2 linked regions of the Astyanax mexicanus genome follow. The protein of the gene in region 1 interacts with the protein of each later gene in a pairwise test. Links are inferred from orthologs where the notes say so. Each region holds a gene or a part of one and is shown in the gene's direction. Other genes may lie near its edges.

What was found. The genes of interacting proteins can lie anywhere in the genome.
Region 2: the proteins of txndc5 (region 1) and gmppb interact in a two-hybrid assay, tested with the Homo sapiens proteins (2 studies listed by BioGRID and IntAct). The two-hybrid records come from large-scale screens. The link is inferred for Astyanax mexicanus from reciprocal best matches to the Homo sapiens genes TXNDC5 and GMPPB.

What each region holds. Positions count from the first base shown.
Region 1 is NC_064408.1:107,745,643-107,756,316, forward strand, and holds the start of txndc5 (thioredoxin domain-containing protein 5), read left to right. Parts: upstream 1-6,634; 5' UTR 6,635-6,676; coding exon 6,677-6,864; intron 6,865-9,712; coding exon 9,713-9,865; intron 9,866-10,674. UniProt on the Homo sapiens protein: Protein disulfide isomerase of the endoplasmic reticulum lumen involved in the formation of disulfide bonds in proteins. Can reduce insulin disulfide bonds.
Region 2 is NC_064431.1:3,041,637-3,051,286, reverse strand, and holds the start of gmppb (mannose-1-phosphate guanyltransferase beta), read left to right. Parts: upstream 1-5,564; 5' UTR 5,565-5,798; intron 5,799-8,930; 5' UTR 8,931-9,016; coding exon 9,017-9,145; intron 9,146-9,650. UniProt on the Homo sapiens protein: Catalytic subunit of the GMPPA-GMPPB mannose-1-phosphate guanylyltransferase complex. Catalyzes the formation of GDP-mannose, an essential precursor of glycan moieties of glycoproteins and glycolipids. Can catalyze the reverse reaction in vitro.

The sequences.
Region 1 (10,674 bases):
AATTTAAAAAAAGGGTAATTTATATAAAAAAAAAACACAAAGAGTTTAAGGGTAAAAAGATTAAAACAAAAATAATTTCTTTTTGCAAAAGTTATGTTACCATGAAGAGTAAACCGAAAAGACGATACACTGATCTAAAGTTATTAAGTTAAATTGGAAACATTCTTTTCAACAATTTTAAGCAAGCATAAATTTAGAGCGATAAAAAAAAAACAAGCATCATGCATGAGTTTGGGCACCGCAAGAAATGTGAGTTCTCCAGCTTTTTCCCAAGCTCTATGACTCTTATTAACTTGGGAGAAGACTTAAACTTTATAAATAATTTTGGAGCATTTTTGTTGTTTAATTCATCATTTATTTTAGTCACAATCTAAAGTACAAGCACCAGGTTCACATTAAATTAAAATGAATACATAAAGTTTTGTCCAACAGTGGTATATAGTAGCTACTGTAGGGTTGTAGCTTATTCTTTTTGGTCTGCCATGCATTAGAATTTGCCTATTTATTTCTACATAAACTGCTGTAAACCAGTGCATTCAGTCAGTCGGAGCTGAATTAATGTTGGAAGCACCAGTGTAGGAGATCCAGGGCCTCTGGGAGACTGGAAGATCAAAGCTGAAGAAAGAGCTGGACTGGAGCTGAGGCTGACTGCACCTGCTGCTTCCCTCTGGCCAAAGAAAACACATTATTCCACCAGTACAGCCACTTAATGGCCTCTGTGGTGACCCTGTGAACAGTGAGGCATGGCAAGACTGTCCCATTGACTGCTCCTTAGAGGGAAAAGAAGCTAGAAACACTAGCAGGCACACACACACACACACACACACACACACAGACTAAACTATTGCTTAACTGGCTTACTTACTGGATCTATAAGGATGGTTCACCTGAAGGTTCTATATATATCTTTAAAAGGTTGTTCACTCTAACTCATTACATTATGATCTTTACTGATGCAAAAAGGGTCAATATTTCCTACTTCAATTATGCATTTCAATTATTTATTTAGCTATTTTCATGAAAATATCAAGCAATTTAATCATCTCCAAGAACGTCCCCTTTAAGAAATCAGTGACAGCACAACCTTTACAGTGTTTTCCTTTCAAAGGACTGAAGACACTTACTGCATTATTTAGCAATTAATAATATAGATTTTACCTAATATTTCCCAAATATCTATACAACAGAACAATGTCACCATGAGCAGTTTTTGCTATTCTGTGCACTCTGAAATCTTATTAAATCAAATGTTTGTCACAAAGCAGGTTTACAGGACAGAGAATCAGACAAAACACTACAATACACTACAAAACATACAGGAGGAAGAAAATTTGGGAGGACCAAGACTCAAATGTAAGAGGGGACCATCCTACCACAGTCTAACAACCTTTTAATGAATTTTAGTCATTATACATCCACACAGGTCTAATATATTCAGTTTTATAACAGCACCAGCTATGAAAGCAGTTAGAGTTCATATAAATTTGGATGTGATCTGTAGTGGAGAGTCAGCAGCTAGTCCGAGGCATGTTGCAAGAACTGAATGCTGGGCAGCTAAACTGTGGTGGGTAATGGGAAGGCTGACTTTCAGAAACTTCTATCAGTCCGGCTGAACAGGGGACAGGAGAGCCTGAGGGTCTAACATCCATTGGTATCGGGCTGCACTGGTGGGCAGTCAAGAACTCGGAGGAAGCAGAAAGATGGAATTGGTTTTAACTGGATTAATGTAAAACAGAAAATATGAAACATTATCAGTGTGGCTAATGACTGGCTAATTTGATAATTTGTCAAAAAAAAAAAATATATATATATATATTACGTTTGTTTGTTTTTTTTCCCCCATTTTCTCCCCAATTTACACGGCCAATTACCCAACCCACTCACTAGGACTCCTCCTATCACTAGTAATGCCCCAACACACCTATTCTTTTCGAGCTGATGCAGTATTGCCGAGCAGCCGGCGCGCTTGAAGGAAAGCGCAGCGGCTCGGATCCGGTACATCAGCTCACAGACGCCCTGTGCTGCGGACATCACCCTGGGAGTGATGTGGGGAGAGAGCGCCATCTACCCACCTGGGGGGGAGCTGGACCATTCGGCACCCCTATTTTACGGTTTTTACACTATATTCTGATACTGGCTCTTCTTCCATGACATTACTCAAATAACCTTTTTAAGCAGCTTAACTTTTTACATTGTATGTGGGAACTCTTTAAACTTTAAAAAAGGTTCTTTACACATGAACATCTGAGAATGACCTTTAAAGAACCATTTTAGAACATGGCATTTCTTCATCACCTTCATTTTAAGAACTGTACACTTAGGGAAACATACCTTTAACAAACATACATCTCAATACATTACATTAAAATATACATACATTTGCTCAAACTGCCCCCTACCACACACACACAAACACACACTACTGAATGTACACCTGTTCCAGGCTGTGTACAGCAATACTCTCCATCTTTGAACCTGCAGTGTGCATTGAGGAGCCGTTATGGTTGGACAGCCATCAAAACGGAACAGAACAAATCATCTCTAAGAAAAACACTGTGCATCTGTTTGGAGACTTGGCCCCCTCAGTCTGGCGGAGTCCCACCGCCTTCAGCCAAGCAGGGTCATTTTCCATGAGAGTAGTAAGTGACAACATCTGTAATTTCTTTTCAAGGGGAAAATAAAAACAAACCTTGATGCACTGTAGGTCTGCTTAAGTGCCTTGCAACATGTTCAACCAGCATCAAAGAGAGGAGGAGCTCTACGTTTACCAAAACTTAATGTCAGTGGGCAGCTTTGACTTACTTAACCTGGATAAAACTGTTCACTTTTTTATGAGAAGCCTTTAGCCAGATGTTTTTTGGTTTACCTTCTTTAACAAAACAGTTTAGAACTCAACGAGCAGCTGGAAAAAACCTGGGTGCTTGTTTAATTGATTATTACTAAATTAACTGAAGTAAACATATTGTGAATACACCTGTACAGAACAGAGCACGAGGTCACAAGGCCTGGCTAAGTAGACACAGGTATCGAAACCCATAAAAATGTGTGAGCAACAGTGGTAGCTTAGGGAACATACAGTAAGTATCAAACTCATAACCCTGTAATGAATAACCTAGTGCTCTAACCTTTAAGGGTCCAACAGTGGCCGACTCTGTTATCAACATTAGCAGCTTTGCAGATGCAAGCATCAAATCCATAACTCTGTAATCAATAACCCAATTCTCTGACCACTAAGGTAGTTTAGATGACATAGATTTGAACCACATTACCACATTTGTGATCACCAGTGGCAGCTTAGGAGACATAGGTATTAAACTTATAACCCTGTGTTTAAAAGTGGCAGCTTAGAGGACAAATGTATCACATCCATTACCAAGTGATCAACGGTGGCAGCTTAACAGACACTTAAATCAAACCCACAATCCTGTATTCTATAGCCCAGGGCTCTAACCCCAAAGGCATCAACAGTGATCATTTAAGGAACATGGGTATCAAACCCTTAACTCTGCGCTTAAAAGGGGCAGCTTAAGAACATAGGTATCAAACCCATAACCATGAAGAGTGATAAACAGTGGCAGCTAAAGCACAAATGTATCAAACCAATTACCATGTGATTACCAGTGGCAGCTTAAAATATATAGGTATCAAACTTACAACCCTGTGTTTAACAGTGGCAGCTTAAAAGACAAAAGTATTACAACCATTACCATGTGGTCACCAGTGGCAGCTTAGAAGATATAGGTATCAATCTTACAACCCTGTGTTTAAAAGTGGCAGCTTAAAGGACAAAAGTATCACAATCATTACCATGTGATCAACAGTAGCATCTTAACAGACACTTGCATCAAACCCACAATCCTGTAATCTATAGCCCAGGGCTCTAACCCCAAAGGTATCAACAATGGTGGATTAAAGAACATGGGTATTAAACACATTTAATCAAAAGTGGAAGCTTAGGAACATAGGTATCAAACCCATATCCAAGAAACAGTGATAAACAGTGGCGGCAAAAGGACAAAGGTATCAACCCTTTACCACGTGAATCACCAATGGTAGCTTAACAGACACATATGAATCAAACCCACAACCCTGTGATCAATAACCCAGTGCTTATCAAAATATGCATTAAATAAATGCATTAAATATTCCATGGTTGGAAAATTAGGTCATATAAAGCTGATGTTTACTACATTTTGTTGTCTGCATAGTCCGCACAGCCTCCATTGCAATCTTTTGAGACCATACTTACAGACAGATAGATCTTCTTTCTGAAGAAGCTCCTTCACATCACTCAACTTTTCTTGCATTTGATGGACTTGTTTTGCTCTAATGACTCACATTCTGTGCCAGCAAGGGGTAGCCATCTTCCATGGCAGATTCCCTGACATGGACCCCTGTTGCCAAAGCTCTTGTAATTGTGAAGTGCTAATGGCTATAGTGAGTGAAACTGGGCATGTTTGTTGTAGCTGTAGAGCCAAAGCAAAATGTGGACATACTTAAGTACCTCAGAGTCTCAGAGCAGCAGAGGGGTTTTGAGTTTTATTCCTGATTCACACATATCTGACATGTTGATATTGGAGCAGAGAGTGAATCTGATCTGGAAGTGCTGAAGTAAAGGAGTGAAGTCACCAGCATTCAACAGCATGTGGTAGAAAAGCAAAAGAAGAGAGGTGGACACCAACATTGGTGCCTGAGGGCTGCCATACATACCCCTCTTTGAAGTATGGGCCTGTATGTGTTTAGACTTGCAATGTCTTTTCAAGACAAGTTTCTGCTAGTTAGAATTCAAACCTAAAAGAACATGAAAGCCAAATACAACATAAATATCCATGGCAAGAAACTATGGCTATGTCTAAGTTTGTTTCCATATCAGTTTGTTTTGTGAGTCACTTCCACTGGCCTAAAACTATTCCAAGTTATGGCAATGATGTCTTGATTTTTTGCATGTAAAACATATAAAACCTGTGGTAGGATTGTGGAAAAGAGTTTTAGCACCTCCTGAAATGTTAGATATCTTTTCTGAAAAACACATTTCTGAGTTTTACAATAATTACTTTTCCTGGTTGTCTTAAATCTTGTGTATCTATGAAGCCATCTTGAGGCTCAAATCCCATTAGTGTTGTTCCTTGTTTCACATTGGGTTTTTATTCTAAACAACCAGCAGCATACCAATCTAACAATTTTCTAAATGTTACAAACGTTAACATCCTTAGAGCATTCAGTCTGTCAAGTTTTCTTTATGTCCTTAGAACATATTTTCTATAACGTTACAGCCTAACCTTCTTGGAACTTTTCTAAATGTTGCTAAACATTCTTATAACATTCTATGTTAGCTGGAATACCTATTTCCAATTGTTTATTCATTCAGTTAGTGTTTAAACAATTAATTATATGGCCTTCTGCTTGGTGCCATATAAAAATATCTCAGAGGTTACTTTTGGGTAGTTTACCTCTTGGTGAAAGAATGTTGACTCCTAGACATGCCTCTACAATGCACTCCAAAACCTTTTTGCCAGTTGACAAACTTTGAGAATGGGCTCATTGTTGGACTAATAGAAACAGGTTTGTTGTTTTGACAAATTGCTCACCATCTAGGCCATTTGTCAGCCGGCCACTGTTGTTCTCGTGTATGCAAATACATGTAAACACATAAACAAGCAGATACTTTCATAAACTATTTCTGTATTCACCCTGTTAAAAACTTTAACTCAAGATCAGCTTTTGCTAGGAACTGAATGGTCCAAGCTGGTCTTTGACGTTAAGGTTGATGAAAAACTTTGGCACTGCTGTCCAGGCCGGTCTTGATGATCATGCTGGTCAACCAGCTTGGTGACACTGGACATTTAACCTGGTGAAGCTGGTGACCTAACTTGGTGAAGCTGGTAATGCTGGTTTATCAGCTTGGACTGGCCAGGGTTATTTTTATCACAGCAGTGCACTTTTACACAATTAAACAAATGTGTAATTTAATTCATATAATCTATATACAGTAACAGACAAACCTTTGGACATACCTTCTTATTCAATGTTCCTTCTTTCTTTATTATTTTAATTTATTTTTGGGGACACATATGGAACTAAGCAGTAAATTAAAAAGTGTTTGTTCTCCACAATCTACTGATCAAATCTGATCAATTGAGATGGAGCTTCATAGCCCGAAGTGATAGCAGCAACAATATTGTTCAGCACCTCCAGGAACTCCTTCAAGGCTGTGAAAACTGTTCCAGGTGACTCCTCCTCTTGAAGACACTGGTACTTAGAAGAATATAAAAACATCACATGTGCTCTGGTATAGTTTTAATATCTTCAGTATTAATTTTACTATGTAAAACATCACGAAAAGAAAAAAAACACATTGGAATAGAAGACGTTTGTCTAACATTTTGACTGGCACTGTACATGTTTGAAACTTGAAACTTGAAAAATAATAAAGAAAATAGTTTTTTCACAGCTTCTGTGACTTTTAAAAAGTTGTAAAATGCTGTAAAAAGTAAGAGGTGATCCCACGTATGAGACAGTGCCAGCAAGCTTCCTGAACAACACCACAGACCTCCAACTCATACCCAGCAGGTCTCGATGTGATCCAGGACCATCCCTGCAGCTGCAGATCTGCTGTAGTAGAGGTTTTTATAGCTTTAGCAGAGAGTGAGCGCCTCTGCTCCAGCTCGACGGAATCATGGCCACCTCAGCTCTGAAGATGCCCCGGGTTTTAATCAGTAGTATTTATTGTGTATTACTGTTCGGTACGATACTGTGCGATAATGAGACGGAGGAGGACGAGCACGCGAAGCACACGTACACTGTGGAGATGTTTAACGACGCGATTCCGACAGCTCCACACTTCGTGATGTTCTTCGCTCCGTGGTAAAGTTAACTACAGAGATCTTCTACTACTGCAGCCGGGTTCTGCTTAGCTCCAGCCGGCTTTACAGCTGCAGAGACTGGCTTTAGCTCAGCCGCCGTAATTATCAAAAGGGCAACAGTGTGCGTATTCGAGTTTAACGTTGTATTTCTGATTCAATTTCACGTTAAAATGAGTTTAGCGTGTTTACAAACGTCTAACAGAAGAGTTATGTTAGCCAGCTAGCTAGCTTAGCTAAAGTGCCTAGCAACTACTTTCCATGCTAAGATAGCGTTATGTAGCTAGCTAGCCAGCTAGCTAGCTAACTAACTAGCTTAGCTAATCCTCAATGGCAAAGTACCTACCTACCTATCTGTCTATATAAGTATCAGTATGTCTGTCTATGGCACAATATCTATCTATCTATCTATCTATCTATCTATCTATCTATCTATCTATCTATCTATCTATCTATCTATATAATGTATCTATCTATATAATGTATCTATCTATATAATGTATCTATCTATCAATCTAGCTATATAATGTATTTATCTATCTATATAATGTATCTATCTCTGTCTATATAATGTATCTATCTCTATCTATGCAATGTATCTATCTCTATCTATATAATGTATCTATCTCTATCTATATAATGTATCTATCTCTATCTATATAATGTATCTATCTCTATCTATATAATGTATCTATCTCTATCTATATAATGTATCTATCTCTATCTATATAATGTATCTATATATCTCTATCTATCTATCTATCTCTATCTATCTATCTATCTATATCATTTATCTAACTATTTAAGTTATATAACTATATGTATGTCTGTCTGTCTGTTTATGTATATGTCTGTCACTGTGTAACAGATAGATAGATAGATAGATAACACAGATAGATAGATAACAGATAGATAACAGAGATAGATAGATAGATAGGTTAGATAGATAGGTTAGATTGATGGTGAGATGGTGAGATTAGATTGATGGTGACTGATTATATAGATTATTGATAAAAAAAACTCATGTTCTGTACAATGAGGTGTACAAGTGGGTTATACATTTAAAATGTGTTTGTGCAAGAATACGTGAAGAAATATGTATATTTATATTGTTTATATCCTTACGTTCATGTTGTAATTTTTATTGTTATTTGTTACCTTGTGCAGTTAGTCAACTTGTATTACATTAATCATGAAGAGGCAGTGGTTCTCTTATATCTTGCCCTGGAAACGTCGCATGTTTTGGGACACCTGATTTAATTGATCCAGCTTGTGATTAAAAGTCAAACTTTAACATTTAACGTTACCGTTACTATCTGCATCCACAAGGACTCTCAAGGTTCCAAAATGATAGTTCATGCCATAGAGGGCTAACGGATTGTGTGCAGCTAAGCTAAGCTAGGTTAGCTAAACTGAAAAAGTGTTCAGGCTGTGCTTTATGGGCTTTTTCGAGAGCTCTTATAATCCTTCTGTTTAAACGTTAGCCTTTAAACCATATAAACTGTTAGCATATCCACGTTAGCAGGAAGGGTAAACTCAAAAACTGCAGTTGTAACGTTAGCTAGCAGATGAGCTATCCTAGCCAGCTAGCACTCCAAGCCGGCTAAGCCAAGGAGTTCACAGTTCATTCAGTATGAGAAGTTTCAGTACACGTGGCAAGAAGCAGTAAAAATAAGAAATAAAATAAAAGACCTACCAAAACACTTCATACTGATCCAAACATGGCACAAATATGTGTTTTTAAATACAGAGCAGAAACCCAAGAAAAAAAGTACCTAAAACGTATCACTAGTTACTTGAGCTGAAGGAGAGATAAAAGGGAAAAAACTGTCCTCCAGGTACAAGAATGAATTTCGATTACAATTTAATTTCTTGTTTTATTTGTAAACACACAGCACAATTTTATATGATGTGCAAGCTGTTATTTTCTTTACATTTAATGTACCTTTTTTTTAAAGAATAGTTAGCAGTAAACCATACATGCAGATTTATATTAAACAAATATAACGTCCTTGTATTTCAGTTAAGAAAAAAAGTGTAAACCATGTAAATCACTGCCTCATAAAATAGTTCTTTACAGGTTCCTGATAGAAGCAAATGTCCATCTACTCCATCTGAAGCTTCTATATGTAATGGTGTTAAATCTTAATTATGCCAATTTGAAAATCGCATTAAAACAGTAACTCGATTAACCTTCCAGCCCTAGCTTATATTAAGCAAATTTTTCTTAGTAATATTTAGACACGAAAAAAAAAAAATTGGACACGAATTACAAAATAACTTTGGTGGTGATTTTTGTTATTTCATGTTCAAATTTCTTAAAATTCTAAGGAAGACTGATTTAAAATCATTATTCCATAAATAATCTAAACAATTTTACACTTGCTTACACAATAAGTAAGACAAAAAAATGAAGAAAATAAGATTAGCCTTGAAGATTTTTTTGCAGTGTATTAAAAGTAGAAGGACAAAGTTTTGAAAGTAAAATAAATGTTATTTTGTAAGGCTCTTATGTTCTAATATAATTTCTCTAAGAAAGTCTCTTGCTTAAATAAGTTATTATAATTATTTTTTTGCTTAAGTGTGGACACAAGTATCAAAATAACAATATTGATATATTTGACTCAGATGTAGTGGAGTAAATCCTAAGCTGAAATTTTAAAGTGAAGCACAAATGGATAAAGCACAGGTGAAACAGCTTAGGTACAATTAATTGCATTTACTAAAGGTACATTAAAAGTCTAGTATAAGGTCTCAAATAAAAACCCTTCCAATAAACACTGTTTATTTAGCATAAAAACGCATGCCCCCAGGAGGTTTTAACATTGTATTCTGTGCTTTGTCTTGTACAGGTGTGGTCATTGCCAGAGGCTACAGGGAACATGGAATGAGCTGGCAGACAAATACAACAGTATGGAGACTCCTCCCATCTATGTTGTAAAAGTAGATTGCACTAAGGACACCAAGTTTTGCTCCAGTGACCATGGGATCCGTGGATATCCTACGTAAGGTTTACCAATTTTATGTAGCTGTTGAGACCTCTATAAAACTATAATAGATTATAATGGTAATACATTATTGAGGTACTGTAATATTAACTAGCAGACTAGCTAGGTGAGCAGTGATGTCCACAGTTTATACACACGACACGTCACACGTTGACTGTGGAAGGCCAAAGTCTCACTCTTGTTGTGTTACTCCCTGAGCGATGTTTAACTCCTGTTAAAGACGTCACTAGTTTGAATACTCACATTTATTGCAGCTTGTTGTGCATTCCCAATGCTTACCTTAAAAATGCACTTTATAGGAAACTTCTTAATTCTAAGTAGAAAAGTGTAAAAAGATTTAAAAAAAAATTTAACCATTTCTGCTGCCCCATTCAACATGAAAGTTTGAGACAATGTTAAGAACAACCTCCTGATTTTAAGTTTTGTCAAGAAATCAAAACCTAGTATCTCCATTTTTGCAAGTTTTGACCTGACAGCGAAATAGGACGGAGGGAAATAGGAAAGAGTTGTAAAGTTGTTCTTGCAAATGTTCTATTATATAAATGCCCTGCAAAATTCACTGTTGGCCAAATTCCACATTTTTTGTTTGTTTATTTATTTTTAATTATAATATAGAGAACATTAGCTGCTGTGGCTAATCAAACGGATAAAAGTTTAATGGACATTTCTGGTATAAATCATGCATCTATGTTTCTAAAACTCATCTATTTCTTCTAGATGTTTGGCAGACTTCTTCAAATTCTGAGGGTAGTTGTAGGGTCACAATTAAGATTTAATTTAGGATAAAGATCTTGGGGTTTTGTCTA
Region 2 (9,650 bases), on another chromosome or scaffold:
GCAGGCAGCCACAGCTCAGGGCAAGTCCAGGGTCAGGTCCTCTTCACAGATTGAGGAGGGGGCGTTGCAGGGAAAGCGTCTGTCTGACTGTCTGTCAGTCTGTCTGTCTGTTTGATTATCTGTCTATAAGTCTATGAGTCTATCTGTCTGTCTGTTTGTTTATAAGTCTGTCTGTCTGTCTGTCTGTGTGTGTGTGTGTGTGTGTGTGTGTGTGTGTGTGTGTGTGTGTGTGTGTGTGTGTGTGTGTGTGTGTGTGTGTTTTATATGTGTGCATAAGTGAGCGAATGGAGTATAGATAAAAGAAAAGAAAAGAAAGAGAGAGCGAGAAAGAGAGAGAGAGAGAGAGATTGTGTTGGTTGGGGATTATATGGCGGATTATATATAATTCCCCGACGTCAGTATTCCTAAAGGGAGCAGTTTTTGCTCGTTATGTTTTGTTTTTTTTTGCGAAAGCTTTACTGTAAAAAATAAGGAGAGGTGGTAGAGATGATGATGACGCTTACCTGGCCTCGCTCAGGCCACGCCCACTCTCCTTCCGTCTGTACAATAATATTAATAATAATAAAAGGATAAGAAGGTGAAGTTCGCCTTTTGGCAACAACATTTACCATACATAATGAGACTGTGTGATAAAAAAAAAAAATTATCACATTTGAGGTCACATGCTTTTATGCTTTTTTTTTTTTTTAATTTTGCCTGTTTGTTTGTTTCAGTTTTTTTTTTTAAATGATGTTGCTGTTTCTGTAGCCCTTTTATTTACTTATTCACTTCAGTTAGAGCCAACATTGTGTTTTAGCTTTTTCTTTTTTTTTTATAGCTTTTTACACTTATTTTTTTGGTTTTTCTCTTTTCTTTTCTTTTTTTGTAATAATAATAATTATTATAAAAGTGTCCCTCTTTGGTTTATGGTAGTACTGACAGTCCTAGGCATGTCAATGGGACAGTATAGTATGTTTATCCATATGTTTGTCACCCTCATCATTATTATTATTATTATTATTATTATTATTATTATTATTATTATTATTATTATTATAATCACTGTTGTGTTGATGTTTCAAAGTCTGTCAAATATGGTTATGCTGAAAGTTAACCATCCTATCTTTTGCACTGTAGACTATGTTTGGAACGCATCCGACAGCATGGTTTTCCCATCATTTCTTTCCCTCAAGAGCTTTTCATTCTTGAGAACATCAGAAATAATCCACACTGACTTTACGTCACAGTGATCCTTTATCCACCTCCATCAGCACATGTAGCAATGCAATTTATATACATGAAAAAATATTTATATACATAATATATATATATATATATATTTATACATATATACAGCTCTGGAAAAAAATAAGAGGTCACTTCAGTTTCTGAATCAGTTTCTCTGATTTTGCTATTTATAGGTTTATGTTTGAGTAAAATGAACATTGTTGTTTTATTCTATAAACTACAGACAACATTTCTCCCAAATTCTAAATAAAAATATTCTCATTTAGAGCATTTATTTACAGAAAATGAGAAAAGTCTGAAATAAAAAACAAAAAAGATGCAGAGCTTTCAGACCTCAAATAATGCAAAGAAAACAAGTTCATATTCATGCAGTTTTAAGAGTTCAGAAATCAATATTTGCTGCAATAACCCTGGTTTTAAAATCTCATCGCATCATATTCTCCTCCACCAGTCTTACACACTGCTTTTGGATAACTTTGTGCCTTTACTCCTGGTGCAAAAATTCAGGCTTGTGATCATCCATCTTCCTCTTGAGTATATTCCAGAGGTTTTCATTTGGTAAAATCAAAGAAACTCATCATTTTTAAGGGTTCTCTTATTTTTTCCAGAGCTTTATAAAGAAAAGACTAAAGAAGACTAAAGAAAAAATCCTAACGCCACCTTTCCTCACCGTTTAGCTCGTCGTGTCCCCTTGCCGTCACCGTGGGCGGAGCCTCGTCTCCTCGTAGTTTCACCGTGGTTAGGGTGTTCTCTGTGTAGGTGGAACAGTTGCACTGTAGCCATTACCCTTTTTGATGACAATTATTGATGGAATAATAATTTTTTATTTATTTTTATGTTTTTTTTTTCTCTCCCCCTCTCTGGCACATCACAGGCCCCGGCGGGTCGTATTTTTGTATTGAAATGCATATTAATACATGCATATACTGTATTGGTATTACCAGTGTAGTATTGTTGTTATATTGTGTACACAACCAAACCCGACCCGACCTCCACCTTTACTCCACTCCCCCAGTTACTATAGAGATACCTCTCCTGGTAATATTTGTATTATATTATATAATATAAGTCACTGACTGAGGGGCCATCAGCCATATTAATGTGTCTAGATTATAGATTAGATTAACTGTCCTATTATATTTCCAAAAAGGAACGTCATTGGTCAATGATGTGTCATTTCTATTTGCTCCACCAAAGACAAACGGAGCCTTGCAAGAAATGTGGGGTTTTTGTTTTAGTCTCTTCACTTTTTCAGCCATAAAATTATAATATTAAGAGAATATGGACACTGAAATGGAAATGTATGCTTGGATGCTTTGAAAGATAGATATAAATACAAGGTCATTTACTTTATATGTGTATAAATATAAGTCAACATGTACTTGGGTCAGGTCTCTAAGTCACGTAGCAGGATTGGGATGCACAAAGTGGCCTAGTGGTTTAAAGCGCTGCCACTATGATCGGGAGATTGCTGGTTCGAATCCTGGGCATGCAGCTTGCCATCTGCTGTCGCAGCCCCGAGAGAGCACAATTGGCCTTGCTCTCTCTTGGTGGGTACAGTACAGTAGATGGAGCTTTCTCTTTCCCCTCATCACTCCTAGGGTGACGTGGATCAGCAAAAGGCTGCGTCTGTGAGCTGATGTATCAGAACCGAGTCGCTGCGCTTTCCTCCGAGCGTTAGCGCTGTGATGCTACTCTTCACATGTGTCGTTTGCTAGTCAAAATGCTAGTCAAAATTTTAGGCTAAATTGGGAGACAATTTTTTAATTATAAATAATCTTTAGTAATTTATAGAAATGTATATATAATAAATTATATATATTTGTTCTTAAAGGTATATAGAGCTCTACTTTCTGCTCAGATTCAGTCAGTCAAACAATGTAAAATTTGAGGGGATAATGTATCGCAGTACATTAGTAGATCATAACCCTTAAAAAACGTATGTTTTACATGTATAAAGTAAATGACTTTGCAAAAAGTCCATATTGCTGTGTATGTTCTTACAATAATACATATTTTTCAGATATCGGACAGAAAAAATGGGTCAGTGTTCACATAAGCACTTCACAGTGGGACGGCAAAATGTAGAATGTGCAAAACTAGATTTGCTTACTATTGGCACCGTTGACTGTCCCAGTCTGAAGTGTTTTGTGAGTTTTGTCTAAGAGGAAAAGCTTGGTCAAAGAAGCTAATGTTACTAAAAGCGAAAAAGGGAATCTGCAGCCTCTTGTGTCTGTTTAAGGGACTGGGATGAAGTTGACGTGGCCTCGTCTGTGGCGGATGTTCCTGGTCTTTCCATAGATGTGAGGTAGAACCTGTAGAGAAAAATCTATCACCCAAAAAGTTTCTTTATTTCCCCTTTTGTTGTTGTTGCATGGATGGATATTTTTTTAAGGAAAATATATGACATCTTTGAATGTGTTATTAAAAAACATTTATTTAAGAAAACTGTTGTCTTGCGTCATTTTATTCCTGTTTAAATGCTTTTACCATACTTTTACTGAAAGCAGCACCAACAAAAAAAAAAAATTAAGGATGCTCTGATATGATTGAAACCGTGGGCTGATTCATGTTTCTGATACTTTTTATTGTTTTAAGTGTTTATCTGCTGATGCCTAAATAAATGAATAAATAAATAACTGACAATTAAAAGAAACCCATATTTATTACAGAACTTCCTGTAATTATGAAAGTTTACCATTACAAAATTATATTTTATAAATACAATTATAACCCTTTTTCAATTACAAGAAAATATATAAATATCTATGTACCAAAGTAATTTAATAATTGGCAAATTGTCTTTGAATAAAAGATAGTATTATGAAAAAAAAAGTTTTTTGTTAGATTAGTGTGAAAACATGGCTTGATTACTGTTTTTCAATAATATAATATATAATAATATATTTAATAAACACTCCTAAACCTTGTGGAAAGCCTTCCCATATTAGTTGAGTCTGATATATCTGCTAATGAAGAGCTCACATCAATAATAAAATAAAGCTTACTGTGTTTTAATTTTTATTTTAATTTTACACTAATTGGAAATTTCACTCTGGTTTTACTTATTTGCTGGTTAAAATATTATAAGCAGAGCTTTTTAATCCTGCTGGAGTATAAGTAAACTCTGGTGAGTGTATTTAATTGAATTATTGGTGTATTTAGAAATAGACAGTTGCCTCAGCCATTGATAACAACATGACCAGAAACTGTTTAACCCTACTATTTATTATCATTTGGCCTGTTTATTTAAATTTTTTCTTAAAGCAGAGAAAAATGAGTTTATTACCCCTCCATTTACTGCAGTAAATAATGTGGTATTTTGCTAAAAGTGTGACTCCATTTATGGGAGCAGAGAAAGCTGAACTTTAGTTCCCCACATTAAAATCTCTTTATTTAAAATCTCTGCATTTAATTTATCTGTATTTAATTTATCTTTATTTAATTTATCTGTATTTAAAATCTCTGTATTTATTTTTTATGCATTTAAAATCTCTGTATTTAATTTCTCTGTATTTAATTTTTATGAATCGGTTTGTTTTGGTCGCTTTTGTTTTGACAGCGGCGTTTCTGCTTCCGCGCCACGCTGTTCTTCACTGATTGGCTGCGAGGAGGACGAATGGGGCGCGGCCAAATCATACACTGCGGGTCATACCACTTTACTGCAGGCGGAGGGGGATCCATCATTAATACAGCGGCAGCAGCAGCAAAGCGGACTGCGATTCCGTTACTGTTTAAATACATCAACATATTTTGTGGCTTCTGGGAGGTGTTGCTGTTATCTTTATCTAAAAATTATTCACGTTTTTAAAGTAGACAAAAATAATATATAATTTCCCCTTTTTTATTCCAAGTAGTTTTTTGCTTTTTTTTTTTTTTTGCTAAACACCACTAAAACTGACTGTCATTTAGTTGTAATTCACAAATGTTATTTACTATAATGCATTTATTGTAAATACAGCACAATTATGCAGACATAAAAGACATATGATTTCTCCTTATTATTAATATCATTCTTTTTATATAGTTTATGTTTTAAACACAGAGGCATAACTAATTGTAATATAATATGATGATGATATACTAGCTCTAATAATACCTTTAATAACCTTTATTATTATTATTATTATTATTATTATTATTATAGGATGTGGTGCTCACCACTTAGTATCTGGTGCTCACCATTTTTTTTACGTTAAAAAAATACACCATTATTTTTTAAGGAACTCAAATAAAATTTCAGTAGGTTCAGTATGAGTATGTGTGCAATCCCCTTTGTAATAAATGGTACGCTCCGCTGACCGTCGACCCAGTACGTAGCAGTCGAGGCCCCGCCCCCTGGTCCGGGTCAGTAGTGTTGTCAGCAGTGAGGAGCTGAGCCGCTGATGGTGTTTAAATGAATGAAGTCAGTAGTTTTATAGAGTTCGTGTAGAATCTGAACTCTTTAATAATCTGAATTATTCCTCTCAGCACTGATTCAGATCCTCACTCTGATCTAAACCAGCTGATCCGAATTTCAGCAGAACCGAATCTACAGGTCCAGCAGCAGCAGCAGCAGCAGCAGCACAGTGGTAAGAGCTTTTCCCTGGATATAGTTTTATATTAATAACTGAGATAAATATCAGCTGTACTGTAATAACTGTAATATTGTAATAACTGCGCTTTACTGTGTAGTTTGACTGTTTAAGGGAGTTTGTGTTGTTAGGTGTACCAGTGTAGTTGATAGCTGTTAGCTAGGTTAGCTAATAATAAAGTTATGATGCCATAATCATAATTAACGTTATAATAATAATAATTATTATTATTATAGCTTAATTAATATTATATATATAAAGTAATAACATCAGTTCAGCTCAGTTCAGACATTATTTACTATATTCTTAAAAACAGAAATGTGTCTAAAACACTTGTTTAAACTTAGCCAGCTAACTATATAGCTTAGCTTAGCTAACTAGCTAATGAGTTGTAATGACTACAGTGTGTATGTGTGTGTATATACATACGCATATATATATAACCTACAGTGTATACACAGTACCAGTCTAAAGTTTGGACACACCTTCTCAATCAATGTTTTTCTTTATTTCTTCATTTTATTTGGCTTATAGTTTAATATAATATATAATATATAATATAAACACATAAAACTATTATGTACTAAACATAATTATGTAGGAAATAGTAAAAAAAAAAGTTCTCTACAATCCTGTATATTCTAATTTGTTTAACACTTTTTGTTTAATATTATTATTATTATCTTTAATATTAATTAAAAGATGAAAAAAATCATAAAAAGAAAGAAAACACACTGATTAAGAAGAGGTCCAAACTTTTGACTGGTACAGTATATGGGTTTTTAATAGTAATAATAATACCATTATTTTCTTTTTCCAGCATACAATAAATACATCAGCAAGTATTGGTTTAAAAATAGCTACACATAGGCAGATGGCGATGATTCTAAAAAAAGAATAATAATAATTATCAGCCGATACCAATATCATTCTGAGATCATCATGCATCCCTTTTATTGTAAATATAATGGAATATATATTGTGTTTATACGCTAAGGCCTGGCTTTCTGATTTCACCTTTGTACAGTGTAACATGTAACATGATATTAAGATATAAATTCCTATTCCTGTGCTTCTCTACACCCTTCAGGCCACTCCAGATCAACAACAGCTCCAAGCTTCTGCTGATAAATAGATACTTTATTGATCCCGACGGAAACTTAGCAACATGAAACCTGGTTTTGAGTGGTCTAAGCTGATCTGTAATGGCCAGGTTTAGCAAGATTAGCAAGTCTACCATCATAACCAACTTGAAAATGCTGGTCACTAACCTAGTCATGCTTGTTAACTAGTTTGGTCAAGCTGTTTCTGGACAAACTGGACAACAAACTGGTCAGTGAGCATGATAAATAATTATGGCAGGGTGTTCATGTTGTTTGACAATACCAAGATCAATGTGGACATCCAGGTTGACCACCTAAACCATCAAACTCAAATAACTCAGTTTTTTTGTAGATGTCAAAATAGTGAATTCAAAGTTTTCTTCACTTTAAAAGTTTGAAGGAAACTCTTAAGCTCTTTTTGGACGATGGGATTCGTTTCTCAGGGGGTTCTGATTTAATTTTCTCTTTTATGGGGGGCTTTTTTATCCTCTGTAATTGTATTCCTGTCCGGAACGATCATGTACGTGTTTTTCTCTGTCTTCTGAGAAAATTACAGGCTGAATTATCTACTGTTTTTCTCTGAACTCCGTGGTCCTCCGGTAATATTAGTTCCGTCCAGACGCACATCTCTGAGTTTCGTCTCCTCACATTTAATAAAATAGCTATTTGTCCACTGCCATGCAATTTAATTATACTTTGGGCTCTCGTTTCCATGGAGATCCACTTACTGTAAACACAACAGCGAGTGGAAATGGAGGAGCTACTGAACTCCTAAAAAAAAAAAGCCTAAAAAAAACTCACTGATCCTCCTGTTTTTTCAATTGCAGTCTGGATGTAAAAGTTTTAGCACTGAGTAGAATAGGATAGGGCTTTAAAGCGCCTTAAGGAACACTGAAGAATCTTCATTAGGTTCCTTCACAGTTTCAGTATGAAGATTTCATACTTTTAACAGTATAGTTGTAGTTTGACAAGTTTGACCTGGCCAGGCACTTCTGATCCAGTTTGGCGACACTGGAACAGAGGCCGTATAATGACGTAGGCTAATCGTTTTCCAGTGGAATAGTTTACATATTTCTTGCATCACGTCTCCATTTTACCACTGACAAACAGTCACTAGGATATGTAGGGTGTGTTTTGGGTGTGTCTGCCTCTAAAGCTGTTCAAAAGCTCCTCCTGCTTATATTCAATATTCATCACCATGCCAGATTATTTGTGTGGGTGTTAGAAAGGGGTGGGCGATATGGCCCTAATATGAAATCATTGGGCATTGGGCCTTTACTCATAAATACAGTATATAAACATACAGGGCTTGGACAATGAAACTGAAACACCTGGTTTTAGAGCACAGTAATTGATTGTGGTGACGGACAGTTCTGGTGGAAACAGGAGAGTTGAGGTGCACATTGAATTCTGCGTGATTTGATCAGCCGTGGTTTTATGTTTTTTGGTTACAATCCGGGTTAGCACCCGAACATCCCTTTCAGACAGCATCCTCTTACAGCGTCCACAGTTAATCCTGTTGGATGTGGTTGGTCCTTCTTGGTGGTATGCTGACATTACCCTGGATACCGTGGCTCTTGATGCTGCATCACAAAGACTTGCTGTTTTGGTCACAGATGCTCCAGCAAGACGTGCACCAACAATTTGTCCTCTTTTGAACTCTGGTATGTCTCACATAATGTTTTAATGTGTGCATTGCAATATTTTGCGCAGAACTGTGCTCTTACCCTGCTAATTGAACCTTCACACTCTTACTGCTCTTACTGGTGCAATAATGTGCAATTAATGAAGATTGAACACTAGGCTGCTCCAATTTAGCCATGAAACCTAAAATCCCACACTAAAATGATGACAGGTGTTTCAGTTTCATTGTCCAACCCCTGTAAGTACATTATAGATTATACGAAGGCCTGACACTCATACTATCATCTGTCAGGAAGATCACTTATTATATACAACAATAGACAATAGACAAAGTGTGTCATCCAGCCCAGTTCTGAGCTCCTCCTCCTTCACTGTGTCGCAGGTGAAGCTGGAAGCTCGTCCTACCTGATGCTCCTGTGCTTCCTGCCCAAGTCCTCCCACTTCTGACGCCTCGTTTCTCCTCCCACAATGAAAGCTCTGATTCTGGTCGGGGGCTACGGCACCAGATTAAGACCCCTCACCCTGAGCGTGCCCAAGCCCCTGGTGGAGTTCTGCAATAAACCCATCCTCCTCCATCAGGTGGAGGCTTTAGTGAAGGTCGGTACTGGTTCTGTAGGTCACTGTGGTGCTTGTTTTTAAGTAAGCAGCTTCTACTGTAACTAATTTCATTGATTTTGACATTTTTATTATACTGCTTTACGTCTATTTAAGTATATACAGCCTTTTTTAACCGGAATTTGAGTGTAAATACTTTGCATCTCCCTATTAACCCCATAGCAACCACCTGTTATACCATGGAAGTTTTAACCCTGGTAACCGCATAGTAACGTCCTAGCAACCCCATATTATTTTACACTATAGCTACAGTCTAGCAAAAGTATAGTTTCAACCAAATCACCAAACAGCAACAGCCTAAAAAACTACCTAGCAACTCCATAGCAACTAAATGGCACACCATAGCAGCCACCTAACAAAAACAGTTTCACCATAGTGAGTATTTTTACAGCTACCCCATAGCAACCGCAACCACCAGGTATACCATGGCAGCCACCTAATAAATCTTCCACCCTGTTAACCACATAGCAACAACTTAGCAACCAGC